3 linked regions of the Kluyveromyces lactis genome follow. The protein of the gene in region 1 interacts with the protein of each later gene in a pairwise test. Links are inferred from orthologs where the notes say so. Each region holds a gene or a part of one and is shown in the gene's direction. Other genes may lie near its edges. The genes, in order: SKP1, ROY1 and LUG1.

Evidence for each region.
Region 2: the proteins of SKP1 (region 1) and ROY1 interact in binary tests that used the Saccharomyces cerevisiae proteins (3 or more experiments, as listed by UniProt). The link is inferred for Kluyveromyces lactis from reciprocal best matches to the Saccharomyces cerevisiae genes SKP1 and ROY1.
Region 3: the proteins of SKP1 (region 1) and LUG1 interact in binary tests that used the Saccharomyces cerevisiae proteins (3 or more experiments, as listed by UniProt). The link is inferred for Kluyveromyces lactis from reciprocal best matches to the Saccharomyces cerevisiae genes SKP1 and LUG1.

Annotation. Positions count from the first base shown.
Region 1 is NC_006041.1:1,507,240-1,509,855, reverse strand, and holds SKP1 (SCF ubiquitin ligase subunit SKP1), read left to right. Parts: upstream 1-1,422; coding exon 1,423-1,971; downstream 1,972-2,616. Other genes in the region: PEX3 (Pex3p), read left to right, coding at 1-1,117; YSP2 (Ysp2p), read left to right, coding at 2,336-2,616.
Region 2 is NC_006038.1:761,419-765,056, forward strand, and holds ROY1 (Roy1p), read left to right. Parts: upstream 1-1,348; coding exon 1,349-2,998; downstream 2,999-3,638. Other genes in the region: tRNA methylation protein TRM732, read left to right, coding at 1-834; PET111 (Pet111p), read left to right, coding at 3,544-3,638. UniProt on the Saccharomyces cerevisiae protein: Non-SCF-type F-box protein involved in the endocytic with the vacuolar sorting pathway. Acts as a repressor of YPT52 by inhibiting the formation of active, GTP-bound, YPT52. Involved in the defense mechanism against methylmercury toxicity.
Region 3 is NC_006037.1:218,824-222,957, forward strand, and holds LUG1 (Lug1p), read left to right. Parts: upstream 1-1,322; coding exon 1,323-3,677; downstream 3,678-4,134. Other genes in the region: mitogen-activated serine/threonine-protein kinase KSS1, read left to right, coding at 1-857. UniProt on the Saccharomyces cerevisiae protein: Substrate recognition component of a SCF (SKP1-CUL1-F-box protein) E3 ubiquitin-protein ligase complex which mediates the ubiquitination and subsequent proteasomal degradation of target proteins. Probably recognizes and binds to phosphorylated target proteins.

The DNA of each region.
Region 1 (2,616 bases):
GAATGAGTTGGAAAATGAGGGCTTAAGTTCAGGAATGAGTGCGATGACGCCTGCACCCAGTGTGTCAGCGAAATCTCCGCAATCTGCAGATACCACTAGCGTTTCTGAAACGTCTACGAAATCCAAGGCCGAGCTTTGGGACGATTTGAAACTCAAAGCTATCACCAAGATCATTATCTTGTCCTATACCACATCATTATTGATGCTTTTAACCCGATTGCAATTGAATATATTGGCAAGAAGAGAGTATTTGGATACTGCCATCAATTCTGCCATGGAAAAGGAAAGGGAAAAGAAGGCTAATCAATACTCAGTCTTATCTTGGTTCTCTAGTTGGATCACTGAAAAGAGCAACAATTTACCCAGTGAAAAAGCTGACCCAAGAAACAGCGATGGTACTATTGACACGGACACAAGGAGCATTGCATCCACTGCGAACCCTGAAAAATCGAGATACGTTAACGAACAAGCTTTCTTATCCTTATCGTGGTGGTTATTAAACCGTGGATACCTACAATACAAGAGTATCATTGAACAATTGGTGAAAGAAGAGTTCCAAAATTCGAACCCAAGAGATATCATGACAATGGATGAGTTCAGTGGCAAGATAAGCAAGATATTCGTCACCACAAACAAGCAATTCTTTCAACAGCCACAATCGAATGAAATGTTCATTTCATGTCTACTTCCTGAACCTAACTTAGAGAGATTTGTTCTTCAACAAACTTTAGAACAAGATGCTTTGAAAGTACTATACGAGGATAATCTATTACTAAAACAACTTGTACAAGAGACCAACAAATGCCTACAATCACCTGGAACATGGATTGTCCTGGAGTCTTTAATCGATGAAACATTCCACACAATCATGGAACAAATCGAGGATAATGTCAACAGCAAATCGAAACCTAAATCGAATGATGACGACACCAAAGTAGTCGATATATCCAAAAATTCATATCAAATCGCATTATTCTCTATCGCCACGAAAGACTGCACAAACGAAATGTTGAAAGCGGGACTCGTATCAATGAACAACAAGTTCCTACAGAAACTACACTCCATCTCGGCACTTGACGATCTCAGTGCATGCGTATATAGTAACTTCGGTCTATGAAAACCTTACTTGGCCCTCCATTCAAGTACTGAAATCGCTCCATACCGTGTATGTAGATAGTTCTATAGTTAACGTTACTCTTTCACTGGCACTACGGGGTTTCTCTTCCTGTTTCTTTAATGGCCACGTGATCATAATTTTCTTTTCCTTAAGGTCAAATAACGAAAAGAATCGAATTCCCAACAGGTTGTCAATCAACATGTTATACATCTCAGTTAATGTTTGCAAGTGGATAGGAGCTTGGTGTTTGTAGTTAGTTAGCACCATAGAGTTACCAAGTGGGTTCTATTTAGTACCAGAAAATCATGTCCAAGGAAAACCAGAACGTTGTTTTAGTGAGTGTTGAGGGAGAGAGATTTGTCGTTGACAGGAAGATCGCTGAACGCTCACTTTTACTAAAGAACTACTTGCAAGATCTTAACAGTGGCGATTTGCATGATGATAACGATGCTGACGATGACGAAGATGATGAAGAGGATGGTGACGATGAAATAGTGATGCCCGTGCCCAATGTGAGGTCGTCAGTATTACAGAAAGTGATCGAATGGGCCGTTCATCACAAGGATTCCAATTTCCCCGATGAAGATGACGACGATTCGAGGAAAGCTGCGCCTGTGGATCCATGGGACCGTGAGTTCTTGAAAGTGGACCAAGAAATGTTATATGAGATTATTCTAGCAGCTAACTATCTAAATATCAAGCCATTGTTGGATGCTGGATGTAAAGTTGTTGCGGAGATGATTAGGGGCAGAACACCTGAAGAAATCAGAAGGACCTTCAATATCGTTAACGATTTCACTCCAGAGGAAGAAGCTGCCATAAGACGTGAAAACGAATGGGCAGAAGACCGTTAAACTTACAAGTTTTCTTGTTGTTTTCTCTTTCTGTATCTACATCCTCTTCAGTTTAAAATAGCAATTTCCCTCATTTCCCGTATGTAATCAATAATTTAAGTACTTGCTTGTTAAGCGGATCTTAATTGAAGTAGTGAATTTGAGTCATGGGCAAACGCAGGGATCGCTTTCATATCGCATTTATAGCTTCAAGGTCTGTCTCTGCACCGATAATTTTTCATTTTTGTACCTATATATAATATTTAAAGAACGCGCTACCTTAAATTGAAACTTTTTGCTTCTGGTTTTATCTATTCAAGGCAGAACTGCATCGATAGATGCACCATAGGACCCTTGTTACTGGTATACTTGGTGTAGGATTGTGATGACGTTGACCATTGGTGAGGAGACCAAATCCAGACTAAGATCGCTAAGCGGGAATACTAGTTCGTTGCTAAATTTAAACAAACGCAAGAAGAAGAACAAGGAAAAGAAAAAGGATAAGGACAAGAGTCAACCAAAGTCTCAGGGCAATACACGTGTGCTACGGTCTACGAGTCTGAAACCCAATGTCAATGATGATGCATCTGCATTATCGTCGAATTCGAGCTATGATAAGGTGTATTTGATGGATGGGAGTGACCATAAAGCAGGATCTGCGAATCA
Region 2 (3,638 bases), on another chromosome or scaffold:
GTGAAAGCTGATACTCTAACAGTATTGCGTATGGCTAACATCAAGGTGAAAACGTTCAAGTACTTAGATTTAGCTTCCGATAAAAGTGAGATGTTACAAAGTAGTTTGTTAGAGAACATCAGCGTTTTCGAAAACGTACCGGAATCCGTTTTCTGGGAATTGATCGATAGCAACATTTCAGATGAGAGTCCCGACCATTTGAGGCTCTCTGCAACCCAATGTTTGATGCATTCTTACCGTTCGGCACCAGATGACAAAATCCTCTTCAGGATCTATCAACAGCTCTTTGACGATTCCTCAGATGTCAGATTAATGACGGCTAGGTTTATCAATGAACATGTTTTGCAAGTGGTAGAAAAAAATTTAAACTCTTCTCCTTACTCTACAAGTTTGAGGTGTGCAGAGATGCTCCCACAAATATTTCGTTCAGATGACATCAGCCTCACCTTGATACAGCTCTTGGAGCAATTATACGAAGGTTTTATGATCAGCAATGTGAACTCCAGTGCAGAGAACGAGCTATTTGATGTAGAGAAGGACAACCAATATCGAAATGAGTTGCAGCTCGGAACTCAAACGATTGCCATGTTAAAGGGATTAGGCCATCTACCAATTTCCATCCAACTGAAAAAGGTAAAGCAGAACCTATCTGATGTTGTTTCTGGCCTTAAAGCAGAAGACCGAGATGGTTTCTTCAAATGGGGATCAAACCCTGAAATATTCAATAAGCTTTCTCTCCAGAGAAAACTACTGCAATCATTCGGTGAAGATCTTTCAGAGATAGACGCCAAACTAGAATTGCTTAACTGTCATCCCTTAATTTTTGAAATATAGATCACCTCAACGATTATCAAATCTTATATCCAATATAAGATATTAGCATATGCTAGATAAGAATATATATTACCATCCTGCATTTTAATCCATTACATGACGTCCGGAGATACGTAGATCCATGTATAAGGAATAGCCTCATATGTGATGGCTCTATCAGGTTATAGTGCACATCTAATTGTCATATTAACAACAACATGACTCCGTGGCCAAGCTGGTTAAGGCGTGCGACTGTTAATCGCAAGATCGAGAGTTCAATCCTCTCCGGGGTCGTTTATTTTTTATGTCCGTACACTATTATTCCCAGTGTATTTCGTTGGGAAAGTTTACAAAAAAAAGGTTGGAAAGGAAGGTGCTTAAAATAAGGTGATGAGCTATAAGAAACACACATAAAATTGAATTATATTGTCGCTACCGGCTTGTTGTTTGAATTGAGAGAAATCTATTGTGTGAAACCGATCCTTATTACTGTATTCTGTTCCTCTGAACTTAGGATTGAGGATTCTTCTAGATAATGACTCAAGGTATTTCGTTGGAAGACGTTTTTGATGATGTGGCTAACTTTTTGAACCAGAACGATCTAGCGTCACTCTGTCTGGTAAGTCGCCGCTTCAATGAGTTGGCGACTCCTCGACTATACGCTGATATCACAATTAATAAGAATCCAGTATTGCGCTCGAAAGACTGGTGGATTGAGTGTGGGAAAACGTATGTCGCTGGGTATCGATCTATAACCAAGAGTAACGACCAAAATGATTTATTCTTATACGATAGGATATGCAGACTTTTAGAAAGCAAACATTTGTATCTGATACGGACTCTGGTAGTTCAGGAAGATGTATTCAATGATACAGAGGCCGGTATGCCGTTATTACAACGATTAATTGATAGTGTGAGATCGTTAAATCAAGTAACAAATTTGGATATTAGAGACTCCGTTCTCTTCCAAGCTAACAAAGAGAAGTTGAAAGGTATAAGACCATCTAAGGTGATGAGAATCCAAGAAATTGGTTCTTTGAACGATATATCAGATCTTGAGCAGCTCAAATCGCTAGAGATTTTTGTGACATTACCATCGTTTGATAATGTCATATTGTCTGATGCAGTGAAATTCAAACTCTTGGCAAACTTGGAGGAATTGGTGATAGAAGACATAGAGTTTTCTTCTCTTAGAGTGTTTTACTATTTCAAGGAACAAGGAGTGGTATTCACAAAATTAAAGAGTGTGAAGTTCAACCATGTCCATGGCATACACGATTATAACAAGACGTATCGTGAATTGACTGCTGATTTCTTGAAAGAAGTGATCCCGTTGAAACAGTTACAGTCATTAGAAATGGAGTTAGCATGTGAGATGTCGGAATGTACTTGCATCGATGATTTTTTGTCCGAAATCTCTAGCGAATTAGTATCTTTGAGGAACCTTGCCTTGATCGAGAAAACTTTCGTTACTCAAGGTGACCATTACACTGAGGAAAATTGGGATCTTTCCATAAACAGATTCATATTACATTTACCTAATGTAAGCCAGAATCTACAGACTTTAAGTGTCAGACACAATTGCCCAATTAATGGAATACAGAAGGATAGTGTTGAGGGGAACTATATCAGAAGAAGAACTTTGTATGAAGAGGTGCTTCCTCATTTGAAATCGTTGAAGAAATTATTTGCTCCCACTATCTTGCAATCGTTGAGTTCCTATGAGATTCTTGTATGTGATCTCTTATGGAATGGTTGCGAATGTGAGAAATGCACTAAAGTGCTAGATATTTTCGACCAATTCATTCAGAACCATCAATACTACTCTTACGAGGAAGGCCAATACAAGGACATAATACCGACTGTTTTCTTTGCATACGCTGGTGATTCACTTTGTCGTAGGTTCCTGACCGAAACAGATTGGGATTTAAAAGCATTGCAGTATTCTCCGACGCAACAAATGTGGGATTTTCACGGATACGAAAACGTCTATCATTTCCAGGACTATAACTGCCATTTTGACGAATCTGCATATACCCATCTAACGCAGGTGATTTCCCATTTCTTCGATGACTACATGAAAACTTTGGTGAAACTCCTCCCAAACTTAACCGTCTGTCTTCTATCAGGTATTTATTACCAAGTATCAGATGATCGCCAGTTCTCGTCTCAATACGATAGGTAATTCACCTTACCAATCCAATGTATATTGTGTTATGTATCTTATACAAATCATGATATCTCCGATTTCACTAGATAATGAAAATCGATTTTACTCAGTTCAAAAGTAAGTTATAAGAATTCAATGAAGCACTGACGTGGTGAACATTCGCCGCAATTGTGCAGTGGCAGCCCCTGATAGTATGATCACAAACCTTTATATTTGTGTCTGATCTGCTTATGTTATAGCTTTACCGTTCAATATGATAGCTTCAAGTATCAAAAAATTTGAAGGACATGGTGTGAGAGAAGAGATGAGCGGTCATAGTACAACTTGTTTAAGGATATCCATTACAATTGGTGAGTGAACCAAGCCTTAGTTAAGCCCAATTCAGGACCGAACTATATCTGATCCTTTCTGCTACCCGTTTTTTTTTCCCGCTCTTTAGCTGGTGGGTTACTACAATAAATTGTTTGAAGATAGTTTCTTAAACAAATCCATCAAGCTTATTGACATTGTTGTCGCATAGCTGAATCAAGGGCAGGGAAGAGTAGGTGCAGGTGGGAATTATGTCGCTATTGAAAGTTTCAGCGATGAATGCCAGGCTTCCCAGCAACGTGACTGTAATACGACGTGGGCTGAACGTTTGCCTAAGACACATTGG
Region 3 (4,134 bases), on another chromosome or scaffold:
TAGTACGTCCGACGTCATGGCATAAATTTGAAGCAGTTTATCTTGTACAAGAGTTGATGGAAACGGATTTGCAGAAGATTATCAACCAACAAAATTTATCAGAGGATCATATCCAATATTTCGTTTATCAAATACTAAGGGCTTTAAAATCGCTACATTCGGCACAAGTAATCCATAGGGATTTGAAACCAAGTAATTTGTTACTGAATAGCAATTGTGATCTCAAAGTGTGTGATTTTGGGTTGGCTCGTTGCCTGGCATCGAGTGATCAATCAAGAGAGAATATGGTGGGTTTCATGACAGAATATGTAGCTACCAGATGGTATAGGGCTCCAGAAATCATGTTGTCCTTCCAAGAATACACAACTGCAATGGATATCTGGTCATGTGGATGTATACTAGCAGAAATGATCATGGGTAAGCCGCTTTTCCCAGGTAAAGATTACCACCATCAACTCTGGATCATCTTAGAAGTTTTAGGGTCTCCAACTTTGGAAGACTTTGAACAAATCAAGAGTAAAAGGGCAAAAGAATACATATCTCAACTACCCATGAAGAAAGGTATACCCTGGGCTAATGTGTTAAATAAAGAAGTTAACCCTCTTGCTATCGATTTATTGTCCAAGATGCTAACTTTCAACCCAGACAAGAGGATCAGTGCAGTTGAAGCGTTGGAACATCCATATTTGGCAACATATCATGATCCAGATGACGAGCCAGATTATCCCCAACTAAACCTTGAAGACAATTTTTGGAAAATTGACAACGAGGCCCGCGATAAAAACGAGGAAGACGATATTCCACTGGAACTGTTGAAAAAGATGCTTTATGGTGAAGTTATGAAGCCTCTAAATTGATATGTTCGATATTCTATGAACTAAAAAAAAACTATCCGCATAGTCTTTGAATGAATGTACTGAGACTCAAGGATTTTACGTTTCATGGGTACTTCTCATTAGGACGCCTAGTCTGTCAAATTGAGGAAAAGTAATACAAGAATTCTCATACTCATATTAGACAATCATATAGTTAATTACATAACTAAGTAAAGCTACGAATAACCACATCACGTTTTTCATACTCTTTGATCCCTTATGAACCTTAAGTGTACTTTATGCCCTGAAATGAAAAATAAAGTAGCGATATAATTAGAATGAACAAGAACTTGAACAAAAGACCCGCATCAATAGAAGAAAAAATGAAAACCAAAGTGGATCTTAAAGAAATCATCAAGAGCACCAAAACAGGTGCAAATAGCTTTAAGGATTGGTGAAGTGTATAAAACGTGTTATTCGGGGCTCGCATATCATAATTCGTTCAATATGATCAGTGAAACATCGACGATGCGGTTACCTTCAGAGATAGTCTATGAAATCTTATCATACCAGTTCAAGGATCTTATGTCTAATGATCACTCAGCTACTAGTGAGAAATATCACTCCAATATCAAAACTTTCTTAGGATCGAACTCTACTGTTAACAGGACATTCCATCATGTATGCAGAGTACTCATTTATAGATATTTGAACTTTACTACAGCAAGGTCATTCCACAAGCTTTTAAACACTTTAAAAGAGGATGATCCTGGATTAAGAAAGTTGGTAGAGGTAGCAGACTTTCAAGAGTTAACATCGATTGGTCTTGGACGGACTGGAGAAATGAATAGGATGATCAAAAACCTCACAAATGAAACTCTTTGGGAATTCTTATTATTGACCAAAAATACGCTAAGGGAATTTCTAGCCAGTGAGCATATTCAGGGAGATATAGACGAGAGGATAGTCCATTTCTTACTTTCTCCTGGAACAGTGTTGAGTGTGGTAGATTTCTGTGGATGTTCCGGATCCGTTTTCACAAAACAGTTTGTTACAGCAGTAGAAAAGATGGCGGCACACCCAAGTTCTCGTGAAAACTTTCAGATTACATGTCTAGGTTTGAATGACTGTACAGACATTCCAGATAATACCCTTTCAAAGCTATTGAACCTTCTGCCGGAGTTACAGAAGTTAGATTTAACGCATACTGCTATTGACGATGGTACTCTAATAAATAATTTACCACATTGGAAAAATTTGACACATTTATCCTTTGGAGAATGTTTGCAATTGACGCCAAGAGGAATTTTGGAGTTCTTTTCATACCATCCAGCTGTAACAGATGAAAATAACAATAGTACGCTACAATGGCTAAACGTGCAAGTGCATCCACATACGTCAACATGGACCGATACGCAGACATTGTTTTTGTTAAAGAAGTTATGTCAATATGGACACAATAAAACGTTGGAATACCTTAACATCGGAGGACTGCCATTGCACTATTCAGATGACCGCACGCTAATCAAAACTCCGCACTATTATCAGTGCCATGATTCCTTACAGTTTATAAAGTTGAATTTTCCAGCATTGAAAAGTTTGAATATAAAGGATACTAATGTACCTTACGATAGAATAATACAGTTCCTATCACCTGTTCATGATAGTGACATCGAGGTTGAACAAAAGTTAAAATTTTTAAATATCTCGAACAACTCCTATATTAATCGATGGACCATCCAGGATCCTGCATTATTCACATGTTCCGATTCTTTAGTGTCATTGGAATTATCATTTGACTCTTGGCAGCAGATTGAAAACCTGAATGATCGTCATGAATTGAACTGTTTCAAAAACAAGACTGGAAGAACATCAATTATTCAAGATATAAAGAACATGGAAAGCGTCAAATGGAAATGTTACATCGATTCATCTTATGGTAGAAGGTATTGGCTATACAAGTGTGACCCATATTTGAATCGTGAAAATATCGACCAAGCAGCCTCATTGACCAGATACGATTCCGATGGGAGAAAGATCATTGAGATCGTAAAGCAACCCGACTTTCTTAAATTCGCCCAAAACAAGATCATGTTAGGATGTGGTATTGTTCCAATGAATTCTGCAAGAAGAAGATTAATATATAAAGACATGAAACCTCCAATTTCAAGATTTTTCAATAGAGATGGCCGGTTCGCCACACCAGGCACACACGCAATGCCTATTCTCTCACCAAGACTCCCACCTGGTGGATGGAGGCTTATCAGAAATGATGACGAGGATACTACTACAGAAGATGACGCAAGTACAATTGAAGAGAATAGTCCAATAATCCATAACTCGTTCCAATCGCTTACTTCGATTCCCGAGACGCGCCCACCTCTTGTGCGAGAAAACACAAGAGATGCCATCTACTGGGACAGATCCGCAACCTCTGCAGATCCCACTCTTACGGAAAGTGAATACGAGAATGCTGAAACGGACTATGATTATTTGAACGATCCTGAACTTCAGAGAAGAAGATCACAGATGAGCTTGTTCAATAGTTATCATCGTTCTTCTTCCAAAAATAACCTCAACAACAACAATAACGGTAACACATCCAATCTGACGAATGCATTCAAGCAACACTCACAGTCTCAATCTCAATCCCAAACGTCTTTGCCACACTACTTGTCCACTCCTTCTTCTGAACACTATAAAAAAAACGACAAAAACAAACTAAGTGCAGATTACGTTTATGACCCTAATGAACCAGAAATGAACAAGCGGTACCGTATCCACTACGAGCAACTGCAAGAATACAAAGTATTTGGCACTGTGGAACGCGGAATGTATCGCTACTATTCTCTCAAGACTTAATCAAGCTTGCCCTTTTTTATGTAAATTGTGAATCATTTGTGACAAATCGCATATACTGTGTCTAGAGAAATTTAAATTTAATAATAAATACACCTCACATCACGCTCGCACAAAGTTTGCGGGCCTCTTATGCAACCCAGTGCTGGTACCTGCATCCCGTCCTATAGCTTCCTTTGTGCAGTTTGGCCATAGACACAGTCAGGGTAGCTGACTGGCAGTTCATTACTATACCTAATTGGGAAATAAATAAACAAAAGGCAACTGTTATGCCTTTTCTGTTCACCCCATTGCTGGGTTCGTAGGAGCTTTTTTTTTTTAGTGCACGATTGTCTCTCGAGAATGAAAAAAAGTGCAATTTAACGACAGGTACTTTCGACTGGCTTCTTTTGGGAAAACCTGATCTAGTAAGAGATGCAAATAGTTTATATTTAGTGTTACAGTGAGTAATATCTGCATT